4 linked regions of the Struthio camelus genome follow. The protein of the gene in region 1 purifies or fractionates together with the protein of each later gene. This does not show direct contact. Links are inferred from orthologs where the notes say so. Each region holds a gene or a part of one and is shown in the gene's direction. Other genes may lie near its edges.

Region 1 (7,935 bases):
TCAACGGGCCGGGCTGCCACCCCCTCCCCCAGTCATTGATATGAAATGCTCTGGCAGAGTATCACCCTTCTGAAGCCTTGGGTGGCTCCACAACACTGTCTCTGTATGGTTGCAAAATGACCTGAAATGCTTTCACTCATGCGTGTTTGTGCGTGTGCGTGTGTGTGTGTGTGGGTGGGTGTGTGCCAGGAGGAAAGCGTATAGCCTCCACAAGCTACACACATGGCTCATTCCTCTCCACAAGCTCTCTGGTGCTCCTTTCCCACCCCTACTACCCCAGGAGCGTGCTAGCCCCAAACTCACACTTCCATACCAGGGGCTCTGCGTGTTCCTTCGTACTTTGTTCGCCGGAGCATTGGAGAAGTAAAGCGACTAATTTTTTCTCTCAGTAAAGGGGCTCTTCACAGGTCCCTCATTTTTCTCAGCTCTTTGCTTCCCCCATGCAGGCTTTACGTAGCTACCTTTGTCCTCTCCAGGTGCAGACCCTTGTTTTCTGCCCCAAGCCAAGGGTTCAGCTGTGCTCCCATTCCTCCCCCACCTTTTCTTTCTGTCTGGAAGATGAATCATTCTGGGTGTCTGTGGCAGGAAGGGCAAAGCTGTGCTGGGGGTATTGTTATGCTGGAAGATGCTGACAGCTACTGTGCCAGGCCTTTGATGAACAGATAATTACAGACCAGATTGATGGTTGCTGCATGTCCTCCTCTGGTACCAGGACTTCATGTGCTCTCCATTCCTCACTTCTTATTTTCTCCAGGATCAGAGGGTTGCTGCCCCTAAAAATGCCTAAAAACATTTCCTAAAATTTTGGAATTGATTGGATGTGGTGCTCAAAGCATTTGGCACTATATGTGAACAAAGATATGATACCATCAAGCCAACGGTAGGGCCTTGAAAACTTGGCCAGTTCCTTCGCAAACAGATAGTACAGCTGGCTTCTGTTGGTTAAATACCACACAAAATCACGACGTTCCTTCAGCCCTCTCAGGCGCTGCTTGGGCTCCTGCTGAAGTCAATGATTGACAAGAAGTGTGGGGCTGGGAGCAGAGTACATAGGAACATGGGTCCTTGGGAAATCCAGTGTTTTCAACTTTCTGAGTGAAGACTATAATGGCAGCCTGAGCCTCCAAAATGCCTTTCCCAGTACAGTGAGCCTGGGTTCATGCTTTGTCTGCAAAGTGGAGTCAACTTCAAGGTCAGATTTGTCCTATTTCATCTGCTTTGTGCTGAAATCAAAGGTAGTTCTAAAGTACCAGTGCTTACATTCTCTTCACCTTTGTCATCCAAACAGAGCATCACGATGGATCTCATAGAAATAGTCCTGATATAAAAAGCACAGCTAAATCAAAGTTAGAATTTAGTTATTTGTATTTTCACCCATCCAGTTACTGAACCATCGAGCCTGACTTTGACTGGCACGAGTGTCACTTTACATCACTGTTGAGCATACGTTACATTCACACGCCTAGGTTAAGTTTCCTATACTCCACCGGAGAACTGAAAATCAGAACTCCTGTTTTTAACTGGTTTTGCATTGGAGATTCGGGAAGAATAATTGCCCAGTATCAGTAAACAAAATAGATGTTTTTAAAACAAGAATATTTCCTTGCTTACCTAAGTCTTCTTTCCTTGCACATCATTCATTTCATAAACCAGTGGTTTGTTCTAGACATGTTCTCATAGTGAAGGATGTCACTGTCTGCAAAATTGTTTGTGTGTGTGCTTGTGTGCTTATACACACATATGCTCACATGTTCATAATCCTTTTATGTATGTGTGTGTGTGTGTGTGTGTGTGTGTGTGTGTGTGTGTGTGTGTGTGTGTGTTTCCTCTATGAAAAAAGACAGGCAGAGGATTAGACATCGTGGGTGATATTCTTGCTTTATCTTTCTTTTTCAAGTTTTCTGAATGGTTTCAAAGTAGCTTCTTGACTACTAGTACTGTGCAAAGAAAAAGTTCATCCACCCACTTCACAATTATTTGGTTGCTAGGAGTATTTTTAGCAGCACGATTTGGTAATTGGTTCAAAATATAATAGTTTAGAAAGAGTCACACTGTGGCCCAGCTAATGGTGATATAAGAGTACGGGGAGGGGAAAAAGCTACTCACTGCATTAGATGTGAGGGGATGGAAGTGAGTTGCACAGAGCTCCTGCTTCTCTCGCTGTCTCAGGTGGGTGGAAAGAGAAGGAACGTGAAACCCTGGAGCCTTGGTCCCTCCCACTGTACCCACATAGCAGGGCAGACAGCTGCTCAGGCAAGTTAAGAGGTGAATGCTATAATCATCATAGATCCAGCAGAGTCACTCACTTGAGCAGAGCCATGGATAGAAACACTGCCCCTTACTCATGGTAGATTATTATCTCATGGTCTAGTCTGCTCATACAGACAAACGGTATTGTTCTTTTTATGTAGCATCTTTCCTTCCGGCAATATCTGACTGTGTAGAACATAGTCAGGAGGAAAGACTTGAATGGTACACAGTAATCTCCAAATACTTACAGAGATCTAATCATGTTTTAACGGAGAAGTTGAATCATGTTACAACTTCCATTCCTGTAGTATTTTTGAGGAAGATGATTTCTAACAGTTTGGGTTTCTCAAGGCTAACAGCAGAAAGTCTGAAGAGGCTGCCAGTCTGCGGTGGACCAGCCTAATATGGGTACTTTCTAGAGAGCAGATGCAAGCCATCTCTCTTGTACCTGTGGCTCTGCTGCCCAGATCCAGACCCAGCAGCTCTGGCCAACACATGGAATGCAGAAAGTGGAGCTGGATCCGAGGGGGGGAAAGCAGTCCAGCTGAGTTTCATTTCCAGATGGACTGGTATGCAAAAGGAAAACAAATAGGTTTGAAGGAGAAAAATAAAAGATCTCTTTTACCTAGATTTAATAATGCAGATGACTGCCACATCTTAAGAAAGGACATATTAGCACACAGTAAGCATTTTTTATCTTGATGCTGTTCCTTTAAGGCAGCCTGAACTTTATTGGGAAAAGGTCTTAAGCCATTGAGCAATCCCTGGTTTGGGCAATCACGTTGCTATACTTCATCAGTTAAGTATAGCAGTAATTCAGAAAATGAAGCCATGCCGCATCTGTCATATCATTTAAAATTTACTTCAGTTCTGCAGGTATTTGAGGATTGCAAAATGAGCCACTTTACCCTGCACTAGTCTGTCAGCATTGGAATCTGCTCTGAACCTAATGGGTTTCTTTAGCTCCCTAGAGTTGGAGGTTTCCTTCCTCCTCCCCCTGGAACATATTCCAGTCAATGACACTATTGAAATTCTGACAGTAATTTATATACAGTAAGCGGCTGACCTCAGATGAGACACTGAACAATTCCTGTGCACCAGGCGGCATTTTTCTCATGAAATAACGGCAGTTTATTTGCAGTCACTTACCATTAATCCCCCTCTCCTCCCAGACCAGCGTCATTTATAAGCACTATTGACAGTTTGCGTGATGGAAATTAAAGAAAAAAAAAAAGATGACAAACAAGCTTAAAGAAATAGCCTTAGACAGGACCGTAGATGAGTAACATTACTCACAAAAATAGTGCCCTTGGCTTTGAAGAGGCTGTAAATATAGCTCCCATCCTAGAAAGACAGTTATGCGCAGACTTTTCTTTATATACCCCCACAGTCCTGTTCAAGACAGTGGGACTCGTCACATGATTAAAGACGACCGTGGGTCTTCAGCACTTGCGGGACTGACATTTCCCCTCATACTGTCGACAACTTTCCCTGCCAAGCGGCTCTTGCCGTGGCTCAGACACAGTTCCTCCTCACAGCTCTGTACCAGAATTTCAAGCATTTTCAAGTTTCATTTCAGGACTGCAGGCTTCTTCCACGTTAATGGTCTGAAGACACACATTTATGTATATATTTACTTTCTCATTGTTCTTAATTTGTATTCGTATCCTCTGGTTGTTGCTAGTGTCGGGGTCTGTGACACTGAGGGGCCAGAATCAACCTCCTTCCCGGATCGAAACATGGCTATGTTGAGGGGGACAGAGACAGGGACACCGATCTCTGGTTGATAATCGGTCTTTACGAGGGACCAAAGAGAGCTCTAACATCAAAACACCCCTGCTTTCATGAAAAACAGGCTCAGCTCCAGGCTGCTGTATCCGTAACGAGGTCCGACGCAAGCTTTGCGACCAAAAATCCCGACCGAATTGCGACTGAATTTTTGATCCAGAAGCGAGCTGCCTGGCTGTCCCGCTACTACTGCTCTGGCACCTCGCAGCACCCTTGATCCTCGTGATGACAACAATAAATACCCGAGTAGAAATAAACAACCTCCCCCAAAGAACTCAAACCAGGAAAAAAACTCAAAAAATCCCAAACAGGCACTGATTTCGAGCTAAACTCACCCCCCCCCAGTAAAAAAAAAAAAAACAAAGCGGCAGGAACACGTAAGGAATAACAGCAACTATAATTCTCATTTTAAAACTCTCCGTTAATAGGAGTCGTGGGAGTCCCCTAAGCCGAGGGGACCTTCTTCACCCCCTTCCTAAACCGTCCCAGCGCCATTCCCACCCCTGCGGCCCCGAGGTGCGGGAGGGCGGGGGAAGGCGGTTGGGGCAAGGCAGGGCCGGTTCGTCGGACGGGAGCAGCGGGGAAGAAGATGGCGGGGGGGGGGGGGAGAAGATGGCGGGGGGGGGGGAGAGGGAGGGCAGTGAGGTGGGAAGGGGGGAGTTGAGAGGGAAGAAAGCGCCACGAGCTGTCTTTAAACGCAGGGAAGGGCGGCCCTCGGGGGGCGGGGAGGGGGGGGAAGCGGAGGGCGGAGGGGGGGTCCCCCCCCTCCGCCCTCCGCTTCCCCCCCCTCCCCGCCCCCCGAGGGCCGCCACAGCCCTAACGGCCCTTCCCGCCCTGCCGCCTCGAAGCCCCTCCCCCCGCTGGTATGTGCCGGGAGGGGCGGTGGCGGTGGGGAGGGGGGGGGAGTGGAATGACGCGGGCGCCCCGGGGTCACGTGACGCGAATGGAATGCTAACAATGTAGCGAATGTCCCAACTGTGCCCTGCACTCGGCGCCCGCCACGGCCGAGGGGGAGAAGATGGAGACCGGCCCGCGCCGTCGGGCCCGCGGCGCCCGCCGCCGCGCCGCTCCCTGACGGACCCACCACCACCACCGCTACCCCGGCGGGCGGCGCGGGGCACCCCGAGGTGGTGAGCGAGCGAAAGCGCGGCTTCCTTCCCCCCCCCCCCCCCAACCCGGGGCTTCTCCCCCACCGCCGGTCACCGTCGGGACGGGGTTGTTGGGGGGGGGGGGGAAAGTTGGAAGGGGCCAAAAGAGCGGCCGCCAGAGGGTCGGGCGCGTCGGCCGGCGGCGGGGCCGGTGCCGGGGCTCGGCTGGCTGCGGCGGGTGCCCGGGGCAGCCTCCCTCGGCGCCCTGCCCGCGCCCTCCGACGTGTTTGCGGCCCGAGCGGGCAGCCGTGTGACAGCGCCTCGCCCGGAGGCCTCGGGCGGCACCGCGAGGGAGGCAGCCGGGCCGGGGCCGGGTGGCCGCGGCCGTGCTGATGCGGGGAGGTTTCAGCGGGGTGCTCGGCGCTGCTGGTGCCGGCCCCGCCGTCGAGGGTGTCCCGGCCGGGTTGGAGCCGCCGAAGCGCCGGGGGGAGCCCCGCGCCGCTGCCCCCGGCCGCTGCCAGGCAGCTGAAGGTCGCCGCCAAAATTCAGGTGGCTCCCGAGCGGGGTGGGTGTGTTGATGCAAGCGCGTACCCGCTGAAAGGCACTTGCGCGAATGACGCAAAAAAAAAAAAAAGGCCAAAAACAAACAGTAGCAAAAAACCCCCACCCAGCCCCGTAGTGTCCAGGTGGTGCGAGGGGTCACTCCGCTCCGCTGCGGCCGGCGAGCCCCCGCCCGTAGCGCCGGCTTGGGCCGGGGCTCGTGGTTGCCCCGGGACGCAGGCGCGGAGTTACTTTTGGGCAGTTTCGTTAGCAGGGGGAAAGGAGAGGTTTGGGAAAAAACTGGGGGATTTTTTTTGGTTTTTTGTTTTTTTCCAGTTCTCCTCACCGCTTTTGGTGTGCAAAGGGGAGCGTGGTTTGTACGGGGGTGAAATGCCAGGAACCCCCCGCCCCTGTGAGTCCTGGACCTTTTAGTACAAAGCAGGCAGTTCCCCTTTCCATAAGTTTGTAATGCAGAAAAAAAGAAAAAAAAAACAATAGCTTTAATTTTAGAGAGAGAAGGTTATTGTGGCAATTTCTTCAAACTTCATTCTTTCCTTCTGCAATGCTAGTTCACCTGACCGCAGTGCCTGCAGGGTTTTATAGGCTTGGAAGCAGGTTGCCAGTTTGGGGTTTGTGACTTTGCTCTCGAAACGCAGCTGAAGCTTTAGTTTGTTTTGCGTTTCCCAGTTCCGCGGAGCCACTGGCACGTGAAGCCAGTTGGTGAATGAAGGAAGCGGAGGGAGAATAGCTAGCGGGCTGAGACGAGACTTCAGCATTTCACTTCTGTGTGGTTGGTTGTTTACTGGCAGAGCAGCTATTAGTATTTCTCAACTGAAGAAGAAAAATCACTTATTCAAAAATCATTTTAACTTGGTGTAGTTAAAGTAATGTTACATTTATTTGAAATGAATCTTAAAAGAGTAATGGTCAAGCTTCTAGTTCGTGCAGAGTATATCGTGCTTCAGGGAGGGGAAAAAAACCCTACTGTTTAGTCAGAATAGCTTGAAGCTCAAAAACAATTCTGAAAAATCATTTCTCGTGATGGCAGAAGGGCTATTGGTGGTACATCCATGTGGTAGGCAAGGTGAAGATTAGAAGGATACGAAGTTATCCAAATCCAGATGTACAGTCAGAAATGCTTAGGCAGAATTAGATACTCTCTCTCTATTTTTTTTTAAGCATAAAAGCCTCTTTATTTTTTTCTGAAAATACAAATCACAGGAAAATTTTTAAAAAGCAGGCAGCTTGTCTTTCTCTGTAAATCATCTCTAATGCCTAAATGTTCCAATTTCTTACGTGTTTAGTTAAAAAACCCTTCTGCAAAATATAAAACACATTTACAGTTAGCTGCGGTACTTAACTGCTGTTGCTGGTCTCATTCATGCTGCCTAAACAATCAGCATTACATTTACAACACTGCTAAACCCGAAAGAAAGCTGCAGAAGCTTCCAGCTGGCCTGACCTAGCATTATTAGACTCAAGCTTAGGCTAAGGGTCACAAAAGTTGTTTATGTGAAGTGTGTGTGTAGGTGGGAAACCAGTCCTTTGCTGTAAAAATGTGGGGGGATTGCAGGCTTCTCCAGCACATCCCTGGCCTGAGCATTGGCACAGGGTCTGAAGAGAGGAAGAAAACCCAGATCCCTAAACCCAGCCATGTGGTGCTTGCTGCTGTCAGGAGAGGAAAGACGGTTATAGACCAGTTAATTGCTCTGTATCATTTAATTAGTAGCTAGTTAAGATGTATTCCTAGAAAGGCTGCAATGCTATTGATTAGCGATACCGTTTTTTTAAACATTCTTTTATTAAAGCTGTGTACTAGCTGCTGCTATATCCTGTCTAGGTGGACAAAATTCTGCACTTGGGATTCTTCAGTTCCCCTGATCTTCACTGAGAGCCATGAACACATAGCTGATTTATTGCTTGCGGAAATACCAAAATACAGATGAACAGCTTTAACACTTTCCTTAAAACAAAGGACAAACCTTGTCAAAGATGCTTGTGGACACGTGTGCCGCTTTTAGTCTGTATGAGTTAGGTTTGCAGGATACCCTTAGAGAATAGCAAGTGGAAGAGCTCACTACCTCACAGATATCCTTTAGATAAGCTTCAGAGCGCTTAAACATGAGGAAAAGAAATTCATATGGGTGTCCTGTGTCACACACATTCTCAGTCTCAGCAGGTTGATGCTATAGGGCTTTGCTGTAGAGCTCTACTACTCTACAGAAATTTCCCATAAAAGGGGTGTATGGCATGCTTTCTAACGGTATGT
Region 2 (7,898 bases), on another chromosome or scaffold:
ATATGCTATAAGCAGTTCTCACTTGCCACAAGACTAACGTGTCGCCTACCGTCATTTGCCTCACATTTTACTCACAATTCAGCTTTCGAAGAATACTAAAGCAGATGCAATGGTCAAGGATCTCTATGTTGAGAATGCACAACTGCTGAAGGCTTTGGAGATGACAGAACAGCGGCAGAAAACTGCTGAAAAGAAAAACTATTTATTAGAAGAAAAGATTGCTAACCTCAATAAAATAGTAAAGAACCTGGCATCCCCCTCTTTTAATTCAGCATCTGAGTTAAGGTCATAGCAAAGCCGTAAGTATGCCACAGTCCCATGCACTTTACTGAAATGTTAATATTTCAGCTCTTCACTGTTTTGCCTTTTTGAACTGATGGATTTTTCGTTAAAAACTCCTCCAAGGAGATGGCAGAGCTAAATCCTAAACAGGACACTGCCAATTTCTGTTTATTCCCAAACTATTTTTCTCCTAAATTTTGACTAAAACTAGTGTTCAATATGTATTAAAAAAAAAAAAAAAGACGGGTTAACTTATTCTGATACTTTTTTATTTTAAAATATACATTCTGAATTTACTGTACCAATCTAGATTGAAGCCAGGGTCTAAAGCAAACTTAATGAATTCAAAACTGAAAAAATATTTCTGGCTATCTAGGCTACTTCATGGTTCAAACCTAGTAATATTGATAGATCAGTCTTGAGCACTGTCAGCATAATTGTTACTGAAAGCCAGACTTCCTTGATGCTGTCCATATCCTGCAAACTAATTCTGCTTTCTCTAAAGCAATATGCTGCACCTCATGCATTAGGCTTCTGGTTCATCATGGCTGTTCCTCAGCAGAGCTCAGAAAAAGTGTTTTCTTAAAAATATGTACATAGACTACTGCCTCCAACTAAACATGACAGCATTTCATCTGAAGAAACTTCCCAGCTGGTAAATGAAAGATTACTATTTTTTTTTTCAAGCTGCACTGCCAGACAACTTAAAACTGTAGAGGCCTTAAATTTTCTGTGTGTGGAAATAAGTTACACTAAACAATGGAAGAATCACCAAACAGAAGTGAAGACATGAGTTGTGTTTATACAACTTGTAAACTCATTAAAGCAGTGGAGTATGTTTAATAAACAACTCACAGAAGAATGAAGAGGGAGACCTAAATGATTTCTTCAGTGGAATCCTGTCATTAGGGCTGCCAGAGCGGGACCTCTGCCGTTCATGCAGTGTTCTGTTTGACTTGAGTGATCATTTGAATAAGGCCTGTTGTTTCCAATAGATGCTAATACAGAATCTAAGTTTGTAATTAATTGTGAGGAAACACATTCAAGGTGAATATGAAAAACTCAGGGAATAACAGCCTCAACTAGTTTCCTGCACTATTACAAACATGGATATTAATGTCAGTAGATGAAAATAAACATGCGTTAGGAAAAGCAGGATAAACCAAATTGTATTTGGTTGAATATTACCTGATGATACTCCTAGACAAACACGCACTAATGGTGTAGTCATGATGGTCAAGGAGCAGCAAGGTTTTGTAACGACAAGTAGTATCTCCTATCAGACCAATTTATGAGGCTAGGGAATACAAATTTTCTGGGAACAGCTTCAAGATTTGAGATAGGTCTGACATAAACAGCTGAATGAGAGCTTGTACGCTTGTATAACCCATTGCTGCAGTCTAAATAAAGATGCTGTCGTTCCCTATACGGGCTCCTTGCCCCTGTCAGGGCAGTAAGAGATTTTTAAACAGTGTAAATAAAACTGGTGAAAGGAGCCATATTGGCCTTACTTGAAACTGGTCCTCTTTAAATATATTCTGCATAAATAGTGTATGCAGAGGAAGAGGGTAAAATGCTTTGTCTCTGAAACCACTAGTGCAAGGTGACAATTATGACAGCATTTGTAATGAGCCAGCTGCCCCCTAGAAACTGGGATAAGACTGCCTATGAGCTGTTGAGTCACCTGCAGAAAATTGGTCATTTGGTACTGATTAGTGTGTGGCTCTAGGGGATGCTATCTATGTCTAAACAGTTACCTGCTAATTGGAGGGTTAAGGGACTGAAATATACATATGGAGTATGACCTCCTCTTCTCCTTCCCCCTTCCTCTTCCCTTCCTTTATGCAAGCAATATAAGGCCTATTAAAAAAAGAATGTAAGATATATCAGGTTTTTTTCTTACACCTGCATGCAAGAATGGAGCATAAAGACACATGTAAAAATAATTATGAAGAATCTGTGCAATTTGTTGTTGTTGAAAGGTCACAGTGAGTATACAGGAGTATATCTTTTTCAAAAAATGAAAGATTTATCAAAACAATAATGGAAAAATACCTTGGAGTAACATAATCTTTATACATTATTTCATAACTGTCTTATTCTAAATACCTGTACTGACCGTTTTTCTGAGTAATCTCAAATTCTGAGATTTACATACCCCATTTTTCAGTCCGCAAAAGCTTTTAAAAATTCAAAATTGTATTGAGATAAATTGGAGCTTCTTTTTCAATTTTGAAGCAGGAACATTTTGTTTCTCATAGTAATCAATAAACAGTATCACTTACTAAAAAGAAAAAAAAACACTGTGTAGGTACCCAGCCTGTATGTTAGCAATATTAAAACCATGCCTAGGCTAAGAAAATTAGCGATGCTTAAGAATATTTCCAGGCAGCACTGCAGCTGATGTTCAGATGATCAGAATTATACTTGGAAAAACATTATTAGATAGTACTGTTTAAAGCTATTTCACATCTTGACCTAGGTTTACTTCTAGGGCTCAGTATGTGACCAAAGTGTGAAAACTGAACAGAGGGAATGAGTATGTATTTAAACTCCTGTGGAATTATTTTGAAATAACTCATTTTAAAGGCTAGACTACTCACTCACCTAATTTTTAATCTCCTGGTACTTATGGTGTTTTTAACCAAACATACAGACGTTTCGAAAACACAGTGCCAAAAAGGGAGCCCAGATACAATGATAATACTGGAACAGTAAGGAGAAACTGAGAAAAGGGAATTCGACTTCTCCCTTTCTCAACCCATGCTCTTTTGCCCTACTTTTCTTTCACTTAGCTTTAAAAAACTAAACTAACCACGGAAGAGAACAGGAGGAGGAGGATGGAGGAGGAAGAGAATGTTTGGTAAATATTTTATTTAGACAGACTCCAATTTCAGTAGAATATTTGTGTCAATTCTCAAAAGTGCCTTCTATAATTACATATTCTAGACTCTTTCTGTACTGTACTTTCTGTTGCTACAGAACAATTCAGGACAATCCTTTCCCAAATGGAGTGAATTCAGACAAAGGTAGCGCTGCTTACAAACAAGTGTTGTGTTGTATATTGGTTGAGTACGTCAGCTCAGAAGTTAAGCAGCAAGTGTTACAAAGTCTAAGCTAGTGAAAATAAGCATATAAACATGTAAACTCTTAAGCATTTGTGATCTTCCATGCACGAGTGTCTCCTATGCAGTGTAGGGATTTTAAAGATACTAAAGTATTTAACAGTATCATAACATGCAGTCAAAAATTATTGAATTCCTAAGCGTTGTTCACGCAACAGATCTTGACAATTAAGATATTAACTACTGTGTTACCAAAAGGTGTTTTAAATGTTTTTAACTCTTGCTTTATGAATCACTGTGAAAATAGAGGCACATAGATGTTTGTGGCTGAGATTTCTGAGAGAGGGAAGAGGAAGTATATGACTGAGTCAAATTTTTGTGAATTAAATCTACACAGCTGAAGTACTACTTGTCAATTTAGAATGGTATAAAAGCATACATTGCCACACATTCACAAATATTCATTTAAATTCAAAGAAAACTAAATTATTTGAATTCTGTTTGAAAAAGGGATTGTAACGTATTTGATTTTAGCCATTTACAGATTACATGTGAGCTGCAGAAGGGGATGGTTTGGCTCTATCAAAGAACACTAAAAGCCTTTATTTTGCTTTCAACAAATGACATCACTGTTATAACTGTGCTGTGTTGTCTCCCAGGTTTTACCTGTTACAGTCTCCTGTTCTCACTGTCATTGCTGACAAATGACTTGTGTATAAAGAAAAAACAATTGTATATTTTTTTCCTTATCAGGTTTGTTTTGTTTCAGTGTAATATACTGTCCTTATAACATCATGTAAAGCAAAGGTAAAACAACTTGTACATTATTTATGAATGTAAAAAGAATAAATTTCTGTATGCTCACTGCTTGTTTTTTTGGTTTAATCCAATTTATCTACCCATGGAAATTGTAGGTATTTCACATGCTATCTGAAAATTCTTAAGTATGTACATGAGTAAAGTGTAGTAACAGAAAGGACGGTAGTTCCTCGCTGCCTTAAAGTATAAAATAAAAAGTGGGCGGTGTAAGAGGTAGGTTCACTATCGCACCAGCTTTTTAAGAACAACAGCAGTCGCATACCCGTTCTTTGCCTTTATGGGTGTAACACAGGAGGCACTCAGTTTTCCCTTCATTTAACTAAAATTAATGTTTGTTTGGTAACTGATGCGAGGGGCAGGGAGGTGATACCTGTGGCAAGCAGAGGGCGGCTCTCTGGCGGCAGCCGCCCCTGAGGGAGCGGCTCTGAGGTGGTTGGGGGGGGGGGTGGAGGCGGCGGCGCGCGCCCTTCCCGCCTCCGCCGCCAGCGCTGCGCATGCGCCCCTTCCCCGCCGCGCGGGGGCGCGGTGACAGCACCAGCTTCCCCCCCGCACCGCGCCGGGAGGGCGGAGGCCGCTTTCCCACAAGCCCGCGCGCGCGCGCGCGCGGCGCCGCCGAGCGGGGCACGTTAGCGACGCGCGTGCGCGCGCGGCTCCTCGCGGACTCCCCCCCCCCCAACCCCAGCCGCACCCCGCCCCCTTCCCCCCCCCCCACCGCCACGGCCCAACGGGCGGCGCGAGCCGCCGCCGCCCCGCGGCGCTGAGCGCCCCTCCCCCTCCCCTCCCCTTTGACGGCGGCGGCGGCGCGCGGCCATGCGGGCACCGAGCAACGGCCGCCGCGCCTGAGGGGGGCCGCCGAGCCCTGAGGAGCGGCGGGCGGCGCCGGGCATGCGGGCGCGGCCCCGGTGGCGGTGGCGGGCCGGGAGGTGGGATGCTGTCGCGGAAGAAGACGCGCACGGAGCTCTCCAAGCCGGGCGAGGTGCAGGGCAAGTACGTGAAGAAGGAGACGAGCCCGCTGCTTCGCAGTGAGTGTCGGGGGCGGCGGCGGGGGTGGGGGCGGCCCTTTGCTCGCCACCGCAGCCTGCCTGCGGCCCGGCGGATCCTAGGGGCTGTTTTGAGGCGTTTTCCTCATAAACGGGGAAAAAAATCGCCCCGTTGGTAGCGAGACCTGACCGAGGTTAAACCTGAGAGAGAGGCGTACCCACACAGTAAACAAACTTTTTCTTTAAGCTTTTCAGTCCCAACTTTTTTCAGTCTCAAGAGGCCAGGGCTAAGATCATCCGCAGACAGATCTCCCTGAGGTGAACGGGGCAGTTCAGCTCTTTCCAAAAGTCAGTGTTTTTCCCAGGCCAGGCTGTGTCGGCTGCCAAAAGGTGTGCGCCTTGAACATGAGGTAACTGTCCACGCCAGTCGCGTAAAATCCCTGCGGAAGCGAGTGCTCCGGTTTTAACGGTGAACCGACGTGGTGAGGTCACTCCTACATACCTCGGCCGCGCTAGTCTTCATCCCGTTAACCTGGCGTTAATGCTGCGGCTTCCTTCTTGCTAGGGTTTTACAGGAGAATAGCGGAAGCGCGTAGAAAGTATTGAAAACAAACTGAGACTGAAGCGCATCGTGCTGTAATGGTAGGATTAGGTTAGCTTTGAGGCCGCGACTAACAGCTGAGCGGCAGGCAGGAGCAGGCAGGCGCTCGGCTTCTCTGGAAGTCCTTGCTGCACAAACAACCCGCTCCCCAACCAACAGGCAAAATCGTTTAGCAGCCTCACAGGCTTAGGCTTTAAAAAAAGAACTACTTTTCTTTTTTTCTTTCTTTCTTTCTTTCTTTTTTGTTTTAGGTTTTTGGTGTTTCTAATGGGTCAACCCCTTCTACGCGCTTATGCTATTTGCTGTGAATTAATGACCAGCTATTACATGACTGCGTTGTAACGACTGTTACAAAATTACTGATTACACCTTGCGCGATGCACTGAAATTTTGCTTTAAGTTATACGTTTATAAGAGTTTGCTTATAAATAGTAAATGATAGGCATGGCTTGCTCATAAACGAAGCTTGTAGTTTGTGTTAGCTCACCTGCAGGAAAACTACTTATTCACGCCGTGCTGAAAGTAATAACAAGGAGTATATCATATACTGGAGGGAAGCAGTGAAATTGCTTGAATAGTTATCAGTGTTTGTGTCCCTTTAAATAAAGGAGAAAAATGAGGTATCTTCGTGTTAATTTGAGAACTTACACGTGCAAAATGACAACGTTTTGCTGATTAAGCTTTGTTATATGTGGAAAATATACAAATTTTGTTCCTGGCTCTGTCATGGAGTCCTATAAGCATGTAAGCATTGATGTATTCAGTTACTCAACGTTCATAAAGACAGCGGTCCCAATAAGGTGGTAGACTGGTAGCCAGGAGAGTTAGATTTTCTTGATGTTTCTAGTAGATAAAGAGGTGTGAAGCCTGGCTGATGTAGCCACAGGCAAAAGTGTGTGACTAGTTTATTTTTTGCAGATGCAGTTGTACTGGCAAAACTGTGCTCTTTGGGGGATTGTTTCCGTTGCTAGAGGAGAGCGTGATGGGTTTTGTTGTACCAATACAAACTGCAGCGTTACAACTGTACTCGCCTCTGCATTAGAGGCGCTGTAAAGGGGTTCTGGCTTTTGAATTTCCTGAATATCATAGCGTAAATCAGTGTTGCAGCTAACCAGATATTTTGTGCAAGTGGAGCTGAAATTCTTATTTCGGTTTTATCCTGAAACAGATCTGATGCCTTCATTTATCCGTCATGGTCCAACCATTCCAAGACGAACTGATATCTGTCCTCCTGACTCAAGTTCTTCTGTATATGCTTCTGGAGGAGATGGAATTGTTTCCAGAAACCAGAGTTTCCTTAGAACTCCAGTTCAGAGGCCACCTCATGAAATAATGAGACGTGAAAGCAACAGACTGTCGGCACCTTCCTATCTTGCAAGAAGTTTAGCTGATGTCCCTAGAGAATATGGCTCTTCCTCCCAATCCTTTTTAACAGAAGCTAATTCTGCTATGGAAAATGGAGATGCTGGTGCCCGTTGTTATTATTATGATCATTTTTATGATGCCCAAAGGAGGCGTCAGTTAAATGATCGCGTACATGAGGACTACAGGTATTATGAACAAAACAGTGATCTTTTCCAGAGGATGTCACAGAATCATGGGAGGCACACTTCAGGTAAGTATTGATTTATTTTTCTTTCTCTTCTTTTCTTTTCTTTTCTTTTGTCTTCTTGAGAGTGGCTGCAGAAGTGCTTCTGGATGCTCGTGGTCGTATATTTTAAATGTAATACTGTACAGGCTGGAGCTTCTTTTTAATGATGTTTCTGTTGTTTGACTTTACTACTTGTTTACATTTCTTAGAATAAAGAGCTAGATCACGTGTATTAAGGAGAAAGGAAAAATATATTCAAACAGTGGGCTATTTATAAAATAAAAGAGGTAAGCTTGAGCAAGTTTTTTTTTAATGACCAATATTAGATATCACCAGCTTTGTCAAAAGTTGTGTAAATGTTTATTAGATTCGTTGCCTTTAACAAGTAAGAGTGAACAGGTTATGAATTGTTGTGGATGGTTTTTCTTGTTATTGACAGAGTAATATTCTGAGGCATACTGTTGATTTAGATAACTTTATCTGTATTTGCATGTAATATTGTGGAAATTGTGTTTTCACTCTTGCATTGCTAGGAAACAAGGATTTTATTCATTAGTAGA
Region 3 (7,508 bases), on another chromosome or scaffold:
TACTTAGGACACCTCAGGCAGCCTAAGGAACAGGATCTTGGCTTGCAAGACTGGAAGGAGTCACAACAAAGTAGCAGGAGTGCACTGGATGTCAACTGCATTTTGATTTTTGCCTTCTTTCAACTGCTCAAAGTTCCCTGCAGGCTGTCCTGTGTGGACCCGAGAGGCCTGCCAATTCACAATACATAGCTTGATGTTGCATTTTCACATTAACTACACCCCAGTATTACTATGAAAGCAGCCAAAAAGTAACAGCAACTGCTGGGGTAAACCCCAGACTGGTGAAAAGCTGCCAGATAGCCGCATCCTGAAAGCTTCCCCCCAGCATAGAGGGCTCCCAACTAAAGCAAGATATTAAACAGTCACTTGCTCCATTTTTGGAGAACAGCAGAGTACAAGACCTACCTACGTCAGCAGCTGCTTTGGTTTTGTTCAGTACATAGGAGTGGCTTGCAGGATTTTCACCAACAAGAACAACACTGAGGTGAGGTCTCTTGTTTCCAGCCGCTACCCACTGTTCCACCTCATGACGGGCTTCCTGTCTGATCTGCCGGGCCAGCTTCCTTCCAGAAATTACAACTGCATCATTGCTGCAATAAACAGAGTGTTAATGAAGCAGTCAGCACTGTTAGGAGCATCAAATTCTAGCTTTGGGCAACAACCACCCAGGAAACAGGTGCCCACCACAAGGCATTACAGAAACAGCCCTTTCACTTCAGCCACACACACAGGTCTGCTGCAACTGTAGTGCAAGACATGATTTGCAGAAAACACCAGGTAAGCAGCACATTTCAATCTTCTAGTTTACAGCTTTGCTGCCTGAAACCTTGATACCGGACAACAGTAAAACTGTTGCAAGGACCAACTCATTGTGCAACCTCAGAAAGCCCGCAGACTACTCTTCTCTGGAAGGGCAAGAGTCCAGACTCTTGTCCAGCACATCAAGTCAGATACTACTAGTTTCCTTTTTTAGAAGGTCAGTCATCCGTCCCTTTCAAAGGCACGACAGCTTCACTACAAAGGACTTGCGTAAAGCAGAACTCATTCCACCAAGTGGAGTTTCCACTAGAGAGGTCTATTGAGTAACTAGCTTGTTTGACACAGCACAGGAGGTGCTGCACACTGTACTTCTGCACACAGCGCTGTTGCCAGAGATCCCCATCTCCCACAAATCCCTTGACAAGGATCTCAGCCCACCTAGCACAGCACGTACCTTGCACACACCAGTCTTGTGCCCTCCCTTTTTAAAGGGGGGCTTCCACCGTTGCAGTAGTCTTTTCAGACAGGTAAAGCCATACTGAGGATACTTGGTTTTACCCCCTGCAAGGCTTTAAGACGCCAACTTTCTGCCAGAGTAGGGAGGACACATTTGCCTGCTGTTTGAACCACACAGGAACAGCTCCTTGCAAGCATTTCTAGGCTAAATTGGTAACAGGAATATATATGGTTCTTGCCAAGTACATTCCAGGCAACTGGATACCCTGCAGTACATAAAGGCTTGCTCAAAATACAGCTGAGGACACGGCTGCCAGGCCTCACTGCCAGCTGGCTATATACTAACTGTTTGCTTTCCTTTTTCTTCAGGTTCTCACTTCAATCTGAAAGTCATGCTCATTCACTAGTTCCTCTGTGACGGGATTCACCTTCCCAAGTGTCACTTCTGGACTCAGCTACAGCATTTGAGCCTTGCTTTCATGCAAGGCCTCGCTACAAGCTCCTTGCTCACTTGCTGGATGATTTTCACTGGCCAAGACAGGACCCTCAGTTAGTCCCCTCACTCGAAGCAGGCAAAGATGCTCCACGCAGCATCACGCGAGGGACACTTTCGGCACCTTCCTGAATCACAAGAACCAGCCAGTTTCTGAAGCAGTCGCCCCGCAAAGCGCTTCACAGCTACACAAGCCTCAGAAGCTACTCAACTCGCAGAAGGTACCAACCCAGGTGAGAAAGCCTTATTGCCAAAATGCTTTGTCGGAGGTGTAGGGGATCTTTTGCTTCTTCTTAATCCCAGAGCTATTCATATAGGTAGCTTTCCCATTACTGAATCATAGCTCATTGCTAAAGGGAATCATCCAAGTCAGATCTAGCTAGCAGTAACCACTGAGAAAAATCCATCTCGGACTAGCTTAGCCTGCTGAGCCTTTTTAAAGCTTGTTTTAGCTTCAGAGCTAAACCTGCACTAAGCAAAAGGAATTACTACAGGCACCTGGCAAGCTACTATCAGCACAAAAGGCAAGTTCAAAAATCAAGCTTTCAGCCCCACTTCCAACACTTACTTTACCAGTCCAAAGACAAATTGAAACAAGAATTTACCAGAATATCCTGGCTGCATAACCCTAGAGGCTAGGGGTGCCAGCCTTGGCCAAGAGGGGAAAGGGAGACACATCAGGCGCCAGCCTGAGGCTCACCAGCTTTGAGGTCTGTCGGGAAGTCCGAGGTTGACAAAGTAAGAACTCAAAGCATGAAACAGCAAAAAAATTCAAAGTGGAAGCAGCCGCTCTCCCAAAGGGGGTTTTTATGGCATTGGGGCAAGCTGTTTTAGCCTCGCGGTGTATTACTGCTCAGGTGATAGCTAAAGAGAAGGAGAAAGTAAATTCGTTTGGGTTTCTTGCACAAAGTCATAGCAGTCAGGGGCACTGAGGGGACACACTAAGAGGGTCCCTCCAGTCCCCTGGCACCACTGAAAACAGGGATCAGTGCTCCTCCTGCCCTGAGGAGGCCCCGAGCCCTCCGCAAGGGGGGCAGCACTGCACGGGGGGCTCCTCCTGGCCCAGAGATAGCGAGGCCTCGGCACTGCCCAGTGCTGCCAGTAAGGTCGGGAGGGCCCCGCTGCCCTGGGGGGCTCCTCTCGGGGGGGGGGGGGGGGTGGAGGCTGCCCCGGGGCAGGGGAGCAGCCCGGGCTCCACACGCAAGGCAGGAGTGGGATTTCATCAGCCTGCACCTCCCGGGGCGGCCGCTGGGGGCCCTGCCTCATTCATTCCCGGTACCGGCGGCCCGGGGACGGGGGGGCTCTCGCAGCCCTGGTGGGGGGCAGCGGGCTGGACCTTCCCCCCCCCCCCACCCCTCAACCCACACCGGGCCCCCGCGCCGGTACCGCAACCGGCGTGGCGACGGCGGGAGGAAGGGGGGGGGGGGAAACCGGGCCCGGTGCCACCGCCCCCCCCCCCCCCCGCCGCCGGTAAGCCCCGCCTCCCAGCCGATAAGCCCCTCCCATCCCTAAATAAGCCCCCCGCCCCTGTGGGGCGCTCCCTGCCGCCTACCTGGGCGCCGTGAGGTGCAGACGGCGGCTCCGCGGCAGCAGGTGGAGGCGGCCGCCGCCGCCGCCACCGGAGCCCTGCGCGGCGCGGCCCAGGGCGCGGAGCGGGCCCAGCGCGGTTGCCATGGCTCTCCCCGGCGCGACGACGGCAGGCGACAAGGGACACGCCACAAGGGATGCGCGAGGACCCCCGCCGAGCCGAGGATGGCTTTATATAGCGCCGCCGTCGGCCCCGCGGCCGGCGGCAGCCAATCGCCGCGGCGAGGCGAGCGGCGAGGAGAAGGTGAGAGATGATTGGCGGCGGCGAGGGAGGGGGCGGGACGGAGCCCGGGCTCTTCCGCTGCGATTGGGTCCGAGGGAGAGAGGTGCTGGGGGGACGGGGTGGGCCGGGCGAGAGGAGCCGGCCGTGTTTGATTGGTGGTGGCGGGCGGGGCTTGTGCTCCGTAGATGGGCACGGCGGCGCTGATTGGCTGGGCCGGAGGCGGGGAGGGAGTTTGCAATAGGGGCTGGGGGTTGCGTAAGCCACGGGCTGGCAGAGGGGCGCTTCAGTGGCCCGCAAGGCTGTGGGGTTGCCCAGGCCCATGGCGGGGGGGGGGGGAGGCTTTTGGGCGGGGCCCCAAGACCATGGTGGGGGGTCTCAGTCCTATAGGGCTGCCCAAGCCTTTGGGGGGGGTCCTAGACCCATAGGGGGACCCAGATGCATGGGCAGCCCAGTCTCCTATCGGGGGTCCCAGGACCCTGTGGGAGCTGCAGACCCATAGTGGGCTTCACTCCTAGATGGGGGGGGGTCCCAGTCCTATAGGGGAGCCCCAGGCCCACACAGGAGCATAACCCAGCCCGTACGGGAGCTCAGTCCTATATGGGGGTCCCAAGCTTATAGGAGTGGCCTAGTCCCATGGGGGGGGCCAAGCCCATAGGGGAGCCTAGTCCTATATGGAGGGCCTCAGACAGGGGTTCTAGGCCCATAGGGGAGGTCCTAAGCCCGTACAGGGGGCCTAGTCCTATATGGGGGGGTCCTAGCCCCATATTGGGGATCCTAGCCCCACAGGGGGGCCTAGCCCCATACGGGCATCCCGGGCCCGTACAGGGCTCTAAGGCCCATGGGGAGGCCTGGCCCCATAGGGTCCTGCAAGCGCCACTGTCCGGGCGGGGCGGTTGCCATGGTGAGGGCTCCACCCCCCCCCACCTCCGGCGTCGAGGCCCCGCCCCCTGCCGCGGCGCTCCCCCCTCCCCAACCCCCGCTCAGTCTCGCGGTGCTCTCGCGAGAGTAGGGACGAGCGGCCGGGCGCGGCCCGCCAGCAGCTGGGGCCCGCGCGCCTGCAGCCGGCGGCGCCGCCTCGCCTCAGCCCGGCCCGGCCCGGCCCGGCGCCTCGCCATGAGCTTCCTCTTGTGAGTGCCGGGGCCGCGGGGGAGGCCGTGGGGGTGCGCGGGGGGGGGTCTCTGAGAGGCCTCGGGGGGTGAGGGGAGGCCGTGGGGGTGCGCGGGGGGGGTCTCTGAGAGGCCTCGGGGGGTGAGGGGAGGCCCTGGGGGTGCGCGGGGGGGGTCTCTGAGAGGCCTCGGGGGGTGAGGGGAGGCCGTAGGGGTGCGCGGGGGGGGTCTCTGAGAGGCCTCGGGGGGTGAGAGGAGGCCCTGGGGGTGCGGGGGGGGGTCTCTGAGAGGCCTCGGGGGGTGAGGGGAGGCCGTGGGGGTGCGCGGGGGGGTCTCTGAGAGGCCTCGGGGGGTGAGGGGAGGCCGTGGGGGTGCGCGGGGGGGTTCTCTGAGAGGCCTCGGGGGGTGAGAGGAGGCCCTGGGGGTGCGGGGGGGGGTCTCTGAGAGGCCTCGGGGGGTGAGGGGAGGCCGTGGGGGTGCGCGGGGGGGTCTCTGAGAGGCCTCGGGGGGTGAGGGGAGGCCGTGGGGGTGCGCGGGGGGGTTCTCTGAGAGGCCTCGGGGGGTGAGGGGAGGCCGTAGGGGTGCGCGGGGGGGTTCTCTGAGAGGCCTCGGGGGGTGAGAGGAGGCCCTGGGGGTGCGGGGGGGGGTCTCTGAGAGGCCTCGGGGGGTGAGAGGAGGCCCTGGGGGTGCGGGGGGGGGTCTCTGAGAGGCCTCGGGGGGTGAGAGGAGGCCCTGGGGGTGCGCGGGGGGGTCTCTGAGAGGCCTCGGGGGGTGAGGGGAGGCCGTGGGGGTGCGCGGGGGGGTTCTCTGAGAGGCCTCGGGGAGTGAGGGGAGGCCCTGGGGGTGCGGGGGGAGTCTCTGAGAGGCCTTGTGGTGAGATGTGGGGTGTTGGGGAGGGGGAGGCCCTAGAAATGAGACAGGGGCTGGAGGAAGGCCTTGTGGGGAGGCCCTGGCAATGCAGGGGAGGGGCCTTCAGAGAGGGTTTAGGGGGCAGCCCTGTGTGTGTACAAGGGCCTCGAGGCAAGGCCGTAGCAGCGTATAGAGAGTTTTTAAGGAAGGCATTAGGAGGAAGTTCTGGGTGCATGTGAGGGCCTTGAGAAATGTTTTGGGCAGAAGACTCGAGGGTTAGTGGGGGGCTGGAGGAAGGGTTTGGGTGTTTGGCGGGGAGGCCTTGGGGATGTATGGAGGAGAAAGCGCTGAAGGGAGACCTCGAGGTGGAGGCTTTGCGGGTATAAGGAGGGGGGCTGAGGAAGGCCTTATGGGGAGACCGTGGGGATGGAAGGTGAGGGGGTTGAGGAAGGCTTTGGGAAAGGCTCTAGGGGTGGTGGGGAAGAGTGCAGTCCTATGGAGGAAGCCAGAGGAGGCCCTGGCAGCGTATATGTTTTTGCACCTACTTCTAAGACCAGCTCCCAGTTTCAGGCTGGAAGGCTGTGGCAGAGGGTGTCTCCTAGAGCCAAAGTCCTGGGATAGGCTGGGGAAGGGAGCTGACTTTGGGGCGGTGGGTGAGGCAGGCAGCCCTGGGGAGCACCCAAGTAGGGTGAATACCCTGCCAGCCTATGGGGGGAGGAGCCTTTGTGGTGAGGGAGGCCCTGGAAAGGGGGTGTATTGCAAGGACTAGTCCCTCCCTCTTGGGGAGAATTTGAGGGGATTGGTCTTACAGGGGAGAGATGAGGCCCTGCAGATAGGGGGGGGGGGCTGCATCAGGGTTGTAATTGCTGAGTGTCTGCAGGGATGATTCCCAGTAGTGGGAGGCTCTAGGAATTTGTGCATGGGGAGGGCCTTTGGGGCAAATGGGGTGACGTGCTGTGGCGGAAGGCTTGCGAGAGGGGAAGGAGAAGCCCTGGGGTGACTGGAGTAGGGCCTGTCTCTTGGGGAAGCCCTTGGGATGGATGGGTGGAGGCCATGGGACGTGGGAGAGGGTTTTCCAGCGTGTGGAGGAGCGGTTCAAGGTGGTGATTCCGAGCATGGAAAGAGTGGGATGAGGCAGAAAAGAGGAGGGGAGGCCCTTGCTCTGTGGGGCTTCCTTCTGGGTGGGATTTGGGTGGGCCTTGCTGTATGCGTGTGGAAAAGAGCTGCTGCAGCGGAAAGGGCTTGTGCCCTCAGTGTCCGTATTTGCACGAGGGGCTGTGCTGATGGGATGTGGGGCAGCCTGATTGCAGTTGGGAAAGGCATTAAGCTGGCAGACTTTGGTGTATCTTATATGTTTGTTTGGGGTGGGGAGGTGATAGCCTAGCAGGCTGGAGCTGGCCACTGGTGCAGAGGACCGATGTCTGGATATGAGAGCGTGGTGTCGGCAAGCTAGGAGACATGCCGTAGGACAGGCAGGAGTATGCCAGGCGGGCTGAGGCTCTCTGGGTTGATGGGGCAGGACATGCCTGTTCTGATACGTGGGCTGAAGTTGAGCTGTGGCAAATGATTTGGAGGAAGTGCGTGCAAACAGAGAGACTGCTTGACTTTGATGTTTTAAATGTGTCTTTGATGAGCTACAGAGGGTAGGGTGTTACAGGTATGCATGTTTGTAGCTCCTAGCTCTTGGGTGCCGCGTGTGAGAAGGAGTTGGTGACCTGTGGCGCGAGAAGGGGCTGGGGAGCCTTTGTGCAGGGTCAATTACATGCTGGGTCTGCATCTACTGTAGCGTAGCAGGAGGCAGTAGCTTGGTTTAGAGCGAGTTGGGTGTGAAGGCCCTTTATTTCTGCACCAAACAGATAGCTTCACCCACTCTGCGCTCCGCTGAAGTGCTGTCAGTCCCGCGGTAGCGTTGCATCAAGAAGCTTGCACGAGGCACGTGTGAGCCAAGCGCGTCCAGTTGCGTGCGACTTTGAGGCAGGGTGCCAGCGATGCTGAGCTGCGTGTGCCAGATAAGCGTGTTTCCACTGAGTGACTA
Region 4 (7,917 bases), on another chromosome or scaffold:
TTCTTCACACAGCTGATTTTATCCTTTGGCATAGGAAGGAAATGTACTTTACATAGCTGGTGAAGGTCAGCAGTGTCAGAGCATAAATTCAGCAAGAACGCTGCTTCCTCCAGAGATGGAGAGCTCCTGCAGGTCCAATTGTAAATCAACTTACAGATGTTAGATTACAGATAAAAAGTACCAGCAGAAAATGTATGTATGACCCTTAAAAAAGAAAGTCAGAAAAGGCAATGATCTGAGCGAAGTCACAGATTCTTCCTTGTTTTGTTTTTGAAAGCTGAAAATAGATACATCTATTCCAAAATATTTCTGTCCCACCAAAGCGTTTGTTTCCTAGAGATCTGAAGAACCTCATCTTGGTATGTTTGCAGAAAAAAAAAAAAACAATAGATATTAGTTAAGTCTCTGGTACGCTGGATAGGAGCTTGCCTTGACTTCACATCCTTTGGTGAGAGGAGAAGGGAAAAGGTACGAGAGTGAGGTGTAACTTCCTTTTTGATGGCTCTTTGTCCTGCTTATATCACAGATTCCTCCTGTGGGTGAAGCAGTGGGATTTATGCTTCTACCCTATTTACCTGTTCTGGTTGCTTTTTGCAATTCTCTCAGTACACACACATATGGATTCAGTGAATCTGTTGTTCAGTACCACCTTTGTGGGTCTTAATTTTAACATTGGACTCTCCCCATTTTGAATGTAAGCAGTGCAACATTCACATACCCCCACTCCATGTAATACTCACGTTGCTGCTGGCGCTTGTTTTTAGCAGTGGCCCTTAAGATTGCTTCTAACTTCATTTCCAAAAGCACTTTGAAGCCAGTGTGACATCCCAGGAGCAGGAAGGAAAAAGTATTGAACTCCTGAATTGTTTGCTTGGATTGATAGCTCTGGAACCTGGGAATTTGCAGCTTTGCACCCGGACAGCCCTGGAGCCCACGGTAAAATGTTGTTGACAGTCTCATCCAAGTCTTGTGTCTGACCTCGTTCCTTGACCACAGATATCACAATTAGGAATTGCCTTCCTGACCCCAAATGGTGAAAAGGCAAATTCAGCAAGCTCTTCTGGGAGAAGCTGCTTTGAGAATCTGTGAAATTATCCTCTTTGACACTCAGTTATTGGATTATTTAAATCTCCTTTCCCAGCCCAGCCCTGAGGACAAGAAGAATTTACCATCATAAAGCGATCCAAACTCGATGCAAAGCCTGAGCTGAGGGAGGGTGCCACGTGCCAAAGTGAGCCACTCCGGGCTCAGGTTTCCAGTCATTTTAGCTCCCTTCTCCTGGCAGAAACAAGCCCTGCCCTGAGAGACATCTTCTTGGTTGTGTTTGAAATTTTTCATTCGCTGAAGCCAAATAAGGGAAGCAAACCCAACACTGCTCTTTGTTTGAGGTTTCTCTACCATGAAGGGCAAGAGACGCTGCAGGTTCTCGTGCCCGCCCCTATGGTCTCTTCGCACAAGCGGCTGCCTCTGCTGCTCGCGTGGCTCCTCTGCACTGGGCAGTCCCCATTTTTAAAACCTGCATTGCCTCGGCCTGTTAAAAGGAAGCCGGTTAGATCCTGAAACTCAGTTTAGGTTTTAGCTGCCCTAATTGAGCTCAGGCTCAGGCAGATTTGACTAAGTCCCTCAAAAGAGTTACTTTCCTAGGCAGTTGTGGGCTCAAGCCTGCACCTGCACGGTGCTAACTCGTGTGTCTGAAGTGTGCAGGAGGAAACCCCCGGCTGGCTGGCCGGCCGGCAAACGCAAACAGAAAGCAAGGCAAATGCAAGCAGAAAACAAACAAATACCGGCGTCTGAGTTGCCCCCGGTACCGGGAGCCCCCCGCTTGCCATAGCGGCTCTGCGCAATGCAGAGGCGAAAGTGCACCCGACCTGCTCCCCTCTCCCCCGGGTAGGAGGAAGAGTCATTCGTCCTCAGGCAATGCAGACGTGTGATTTCCACCCGCCTGGCCCGCCAGGGTCGAAACACAAGGCGAGCCCTCTCCCTCGCAGCCAAAAAGGCTCCCACGGTTGCTATGGGGAACGTGGCCAAAGCACAACGCAGCCTTTAGCAGAGATGATAGGAATAAAGGATTAGGCCACACGTTGATAGGGTTTTTTTTTTTTCCCTGACATATTCATTAGCGTTTCTGGTAAGGCAGTTTTCCCCTGTTCCTCGTCAGCTATTCTATGTGACACAATTGCATCCCGTGAAAAACATCGCTCTCAAGAGATCCGACTCCTCATTCTTTCGATGCTTAGTGACAGATTTTATCAGTTCACATTTTCGGTGCTGTCTTTTCCAGAAGGGAACATAACACCGGAAGGCACCTTTCGGTTTATTGAATCCAGTCCCTTGCTATACTTTTCTTCAGAAAAAGGAGACAGGCAACTTTTTTTTTCCCCCTTTTTGGCTTTTAAGTGAAATCCTCCTGCGCATATCCACCGACCGGGAGGGGAGGGGGAGCAGGGAGCTCTGTGTTTGCAGGACAGATGTCCAGACATGAGCGAAACGCCTCCCGAGCTGTCGCGGCTTGCGCAAAGCGGGGTTTAGCCTCGAGGCACCCAGATTCTTCAAAAGCAAAACGAGGCTTTGTTCCGCTCGGCCTGAGTAAGCCCCGCGCTTCACCTTCCTTCCCTCCCCCGCCCCCACGGAGGACCCAGTTTTAAAAAGGTTTGATGGACAGGATTATTTTCTCTATATGAAAACGCCAGCTTTGTAGATCACTTTAAAACTTGGCAGGCCCCAAAGTTCCCACACTGAGTAACTTGCAGCACGCTGGTGTTTACGGGCTGGTGGCAACCCCTTCTGGGGTCCAAAACCAGCCACCTCCCGGCATCAGCGGGGCTACGCTGCGTTTCAGCCGCGTATCGGACTGCCGGACCGGACCCGCTGTGCCCCAGCAGTCTGCCTCGGCACCGTACTCCTCCTGAGAAACAATAAAATCTCTTATCGTTTTTATGTTTGAATCAACTTTTGCAAGTCTAAAGGTTATCAGAGCTCAAATTCAAGCATCTGGCGGTCATAGAAATAAGATCTAACTCTTGTTTGGAGCCTGTGAATTCTTTTATAGAAGATATGCACCTTTTGCAAGGGTTTATAATGCTGCACTTTTTAAACACGTTAGGCTGAAACTTGCTGGAACAGTTGTACTATTTCAGATCTGGCAAACTGTCTCAGTTGCTAAGCAGTGTTTCTGTAAGGGAACTGTTAAAATAGGGAGGGGATTTTTTATTTCTGACACTTTTTGGTCACAGCCCAATTCGTGATTATTAAAGGGAACAAATTTGCACATTCCTTAACATCTGGCCGTATCTCCTGAACCCTGAGGGAGAATTGGAAAAAAAAAAAAAAATCTTGAGAACACATGTCTGGGCCTGTGTGATCAACTCTACCAGTTGCTTTAGTAAAAAGCACTGCAGCTCCCTCCAGCCCTTGCCTCTCTCTGGAGTCCTACAGCGACCCCATAAAGCAGGAGCCAGAAACCGAGACGTTTCTGCCTGCGGCACTGCACCACCGAGCACCCTGGCAGGTCTTGCACGGGAGCGCGGCTAGCTTTTCACAGCTTCAGCCTCGGTCTGCATTTCAACGCCTTCCGCACGTGCAGAAATCAGGGCGGCTGAGCCTGCGTTCACGCTCCTACAACTTTCTCACCAAGAACCTCAACTATTTCCCTAAGAGGCGAACCCCCCCCCCCCGACTTGATCGTCTCTGGTACAGAACTAGAGGCAGGTGATTACTCAGAGGAACATGGTGCAAGAATAGCAATTAACGTCGCTCAGTAGCTGGGCAGCGTTGTTCGGAGGAGACGAAACAAAACCTCGTCCTCGCTTGCGTCACCAGAGCCAGTTCCTGCCTTTTGGGCAAATTACGACTTTTGCGGTCGTAACATGACCCCGGTTCTGTTTAAATTCGGCTGTGCTATTTGCCCGGGCGGGCACACCGCCGCCGCTACCGAAACAAAACACCCTGCGTGCCCGCTGCCTGCCTTTCAATCTCTACGTTTGGACGCGCTGTCTATTTTATAGGTCTCTTTATTTTTACACATACCTGCTGCTGAGTTGAAGCGCGCACCCGCTCCGTGCACCTTATGGGAGGGCGTCAGAAGTGCAGCTGGCCGCTCCCCCACTCCCCCCAACGCCTGTTTGGCCGCCACACCCCCCCACCCCCACCCCATCCCCTCTCAAAATTATCTCTCCTGCTTTTTACCCTTTATATGATTCCTGCCATCCCTCCCTCACCGCACTGTCCCGGCCCTGTTGAGGCCTCCACGAACAGTAATACCGAGTGCAGGCTATTATCAGAAAGCAATCTCGGGCGGGGGGGGGGGGTGAAAAAAGGTTTAACCTCAAACACGACGCTTTTGTGATGGGGGGGGGGGGGTGGGTTTTGCCCCCTGCCCGCCAGGGCCCGGGTGCGCCGCCCCACCCAACGGCCGCCCCAACGGCCGCCCCAACGGCCGCCGCGCGCCGCGCCGCGCAGCGCCTCCCGCCGGCCCCGCCGCCAACACGTCGCAGGGCGGCGAAGGCGCTGCCGCCGCCGGGCTCCGCCTCCGCCTCCGCCCCCGGCCCCGCCGCCGCCACCGCCTGGGACGGCGCGGCGGCACGGCACGGCACGGCCCGGCCCGGCCCGGCACGGAGCGGGGCGCCTGGCCGCTGAGCACCGCCCGGTAAGTCCGCCACGACCCCGGCGCCGCGTTAGGCCCCGGCGGCGCTGCCGGTGCGGGCGGGGGGTGCCCGGCCCCAGCCCCAGCCCCGGTCCCGGGCGCGGCCCGGGCGCCAGGTGCCGCCTGTGCCCGTTGCGGCGCCACGTGCGGAGCCGCCTCCGCCGGCCGAGGGGAGAGGGGAACTTACCGCCGCCGCTCCTGATCCCGGCCCCGACGGCGCACAGCAGCTGCTGCTTTCTCTTCCTCTGGTTTTATTTTTTCTTCCTTTTCTCCCTCCCCCCCCCCCCGGTCTCCCCCTGGGCCAGGAGCCCGCGGCAATGCTGTGGCAGGCGTGAGGGCCCTGCCGGGCGGGCGGGCATCGGCCTGGCGTTTGGGGACGGCAGGGAGGCACGCACCAGCCGGCGGCCATGGATAAGTACGACGACCTGGGCCTGGAGGCCAGCAAGTTCATCGAAGACCTCAACATGTACGAAGCCTCCAAAGACGGTCTCTTTCGGGTGGACAGAGCCCCCGGCAACAACCCCGAGTTTGAGGAGACCAGGCGGGTTTTTGCCACTAAAATGGCCAAAATCCACCTCCAGCAACAGCAGCAGCAGCAGCAAGAGGAGCTGCTGATGGCCGCCTCGGGCTCCCTCAACGGCGGGGCCGGTTTCGGTGCCCCGCGGCCGAGCGTGCCGGGGCCCCGGGGTGGGCAACAGGGCGGCCGGGCCCAGGCGGGAGGCAGCGTGGCCAAGCCGCCCCTGGCCTGCGCTGCGGCCGGCCCCCCGCACCCTTTGGCTTTCCCCAGCCAGCCCACAAACCCGGCTGGGTACGGCTGCGGGGAGAGCGTCCCGGGGGCACACGGGTGCCACGGGGTAACCCCCAGGCCCTCCCCACCTGCCTCTTTTGGGGGCTGCCCTGCCCCAGGGAGCCCGGCTGCGCTCCAGGGCTGGGACGGGGATCCAGACGGGTTTGCCGTGCCCAGACCTGCTGTGGGGAATTGGCGGCCAAACATCAGTCCCAGCGATCAGGTGCTCCGGAGCCCCACGAAAGCCCACGGTGAGCCCCGGCTGCACCAGCACCGGTCTTCAGAGGGGAGCTGGGAAAACAGGAATGAAGGCCAGAGGAGCGGCCAGGGCCAAGAGCACAAACCAGCGGGGCAGAGGTCCTCCTCCTTCTCGCACACGCGAGGCCCCCTGGCCTCCTCTGCCGGGTTTGAGGAGGGGGTGCAAGTGGGTCTCCCTCAGCAGCGGTCATCATCCTTCTCAGCCCCATCCACGCCACCCGCCCCGGGCTTTTCAGGCCTCTCCGACCCGCGTGGCCCGAGTGCCGGAGTGGATATCCCAGCCACAGACAAAACTAGGGATGGTGGCCAGCGGTGGTACCACGACAGTCCTCCATCCTTTTCTCCTGGCTCAGCCCCAGTGCCTGTGCCCCCAAGCGTGGACTATCAGCAAGCCAGCGCTTATCCCAGTGCCGCCGGCCACTTTGTCGCCCACGGGCAAAATCACAGGCCCAACAGCAGTGGTGCAAACCCTCAGCAGAGCACCTCCAACGCGGCTTCACGCGGGCCAGTGACTTTGGATGCTCCCAAGACACCTTTCAGAGAGGGCCTAAGCACTCTGCAGTCTGACTCTGGACACCAGGAAAACTCCGGGGCGACGAAAGTAAAACTACCCTGCCAGACCCTCCTTCCACCACAGGAGCAAGGGCCGTCTGCCGCTGAATTAAAATTAGAAGCACTCACCCAGCGTCTGGAGCAGGAGATGGATGCTCGTCCAAAGGCCGATTACTTTGGTAAGTGTCATTGCAGAAAGGTGTAATTAAAAATTGTTATGAGTATGGTTCATGACTATGTATTGCAGGATTCACACCTTCAGGGCTGCGTTTCCCTGGTACTTTTATTTGGTTATCCTTTTTCAGTTACTCGCATGTTTTTATTCAAGATATTTGAATAGGAAGATGGCTTTCTAGACTGCTGAAGAATTGGATGGTGTCAAACCCTACATAAGGACCTACGGACTGGAGAGCGCGGTTCAGCTCAGAGGAAGCTGTGGTGGACTTCGCTTGACAGGAAACGCCCCAGAGCCTGTCGTAGTTGAACATACGGCACATTCCACATGTGGCAGGTGTAATGAAAATGCTGTCGTGACCAGGGTTCTGTGACTTGCATAGAAATTGCAGCTTGAGTAGGTTCTGAGGACCTAACCATGTGCGGTTGTGAATTTTCTTAAAAAGGTGTTGACTGAGGATGTAAAGGTTGTTCTTTTTTCAAACTGACGTGGATTTTCTCCCCCCACCCCAAGAGTCAGTTCCCGTCAAGCCTGAGCGGGTGAGTGGATCCTGAATACTTCCAGAAAACAGGCAATAGATACGCTCCGCTCTAAATCTCAGGTCCGCAAGTAATCCTGACCAGCACCAGATGTTAACGCTGGTAATTTATGATGAAAAGTGCCTGCTTACGTGGGAGGATATCTGAATGAGAAAATTAAATGCCCTGCTGGCTTTAACTGATTTAGTGTCACAGAATGGCAAAAAGTCGATGGCGAATGGGGTGTTTTCTTTCCTTGTCTCTCGTGGCCACTTTGTACTGTAACAGCAGCGGAGATAGTTCAGCCGTTCAGTTTTCCGGGAAAAGGAAACCTGGTGTTGCTTTTGCTAGGAAGGATGAGAATTCCGCTGTTAATTTAAATAATGGCAGGAGCAGGTCTAGTATATGTTTTCCTCATGATTTTAGATCTGTAGTCACAAAACTAGAAGCAGGAATAGATTAAGCTCTTCAGCCTAAGGTAGAGAAACTGTTTGCATCTCAGACTGCATAGGTCCCATTGCATATAGTCCCTTTGCTTCCTGTCTGCTGTGATTGCCAAGTAAGCCAGCGGTGGTCTGCACATACACCAGTGACCCTTAGAAACTGCTGCTGCCTTGAACTTTACATTATGCTTCACTAATGTAGTTGAAGGGACCTCTAAGTAATTAGTTGCAAATTCCGTAGTAAAATATGTTTCCGACCGCCTCTGTAGTTGTGATATTCCCCTGCAGATGGCTTTGCTGTGATTACTTAGCTTAACATTTGAGATTGAATTTAGCCTTGTAACAGGGCAGATACGGTTTTACTTACTGCTGAACAGTGACCTGAGAAGTTGCTTTATTTGGATCATTTCAGCCTGGGAATGTGGTTTGATGCTTTATGTACTACGCAGGGAGCATGCAGCTTGAATGAGCTCAGAGAACCTCAGCCCAAGAGATGCTGCACTCTTTTGAAAAGGAGCTGATTAGGAACATGAGTTTGGGGA

What was found.
Region 2: the proteins of LATS2 (region 1) and SAV1 purify together in Homo sapiens (affinity purification with western blotting; 4 studies listed by BioGRID, with this or other methods). This does not show direct contact. The link is inferred for Struthio camelus from reciprocal best matches to the Homo sapiens genes LATS2 and SAV1.
Region 3: the proteins of LATS2 (region 1) and MOB1A purify together in Homo sapiens (affinity purification with western blotting; 9 studies listed by BioGRID and IntAct, with this or other methods). This does not show direct contact. The link is inferred for Struthio camelus from reciprocal best matches to the Homo sapiens genes LATS2 and MOB1A.
Region 4: the proteins of LATS2 (region 1) and LIMD1 purify together in Homo sapiens (affinity purification with mass spectrometry; 3 studies listed by BioGRID and IntAct, with this or other methods). This does not show direct contact. The link is inferred for Struthio camelus from reciprocal best matches to the Homo sapiens genes LATS2 and LIMD1.

Annotation. Positions count from the first base shown.
Region 1 is NC_090942.1:203,548,260-203,556,194, forward strand, and holds the start of LATS2 (serine/threonine-protein kinase LATS2), read left to right. Parts: upstream 1-4,928; 5' UTR 4,929-5,168; intron 5,169-7,935. UniProt on the Homo sapiens protein: Negative regulator of YAP1 in the Hippo signaling pathway that plays a pivotal role in organ size control and tumor suppression by restricting proliferation and promoting apoptosis.
Region 2 is NC_090946.1:80,908,240-80,916,137, forward strand, and holds the start of SAV1 (protein salvador homolog 1), read left to right. Parts: upstream 1-4,888; 5' UTR 4,889-5,094; coding exon 5,095-5,188; intron 5,189-6,915; coding exon 6,916-7,362; intron 7,363-7,898. Other genes in the region: NIN (ninein), read left to right, coding at 83-292. UniProt on the Homo sapiens protein: Regulator of STK3/MST2 and STK4/MST1 in the Hippo signaling pathway which plays a pivotal role in organ size control and tumor suppression by restricting proliferation and promoting apoptosis.
Region 3 is NC_090968.1:1,088,361-1,095,868, reverse strand, and holds the start of MOB1A (MOB kinase activator 1A), read left to right. Parts: upstream 1-4,502; 5' UTR 4,503-4,631; coding exon 4,632-4,645; intron 4,646-7,508. Other genes in the region: MTHFD2 (bifunctional methylenetetrahydrofolate dehydrogenase/cyclohydrolase, mitochondrial), read right to left, coding at 406-590, 3,261-3,382. UniProt on the Homo sapiens protein: Activator of LATS1/2 in the Hippo signaling pathway which plays a pivotal role in organ size control and tumor suppression by restricting proliferation and promoting apoptosis.
Region 4 is NC_090943.1:50,662,191-50,670,107, reverse strand, and holds the start of LIMD1 (LIM domain-containing protein 1), read left to right. Parts: upstream 1-4,911; 5' UTR 4,912-5,049; coding exon 5,050-6,418; intron 6,419-7,917. UniProt on the Homo sapiens protein: Adapter or scaffold protein which participates in the assembly of numerous protein complexes and is involved in several cellular processes such as cell fate determination, cytoskeletal organization, repression of gene transcription, cell-cell adhesion, cell differentiation, proliferation and migration.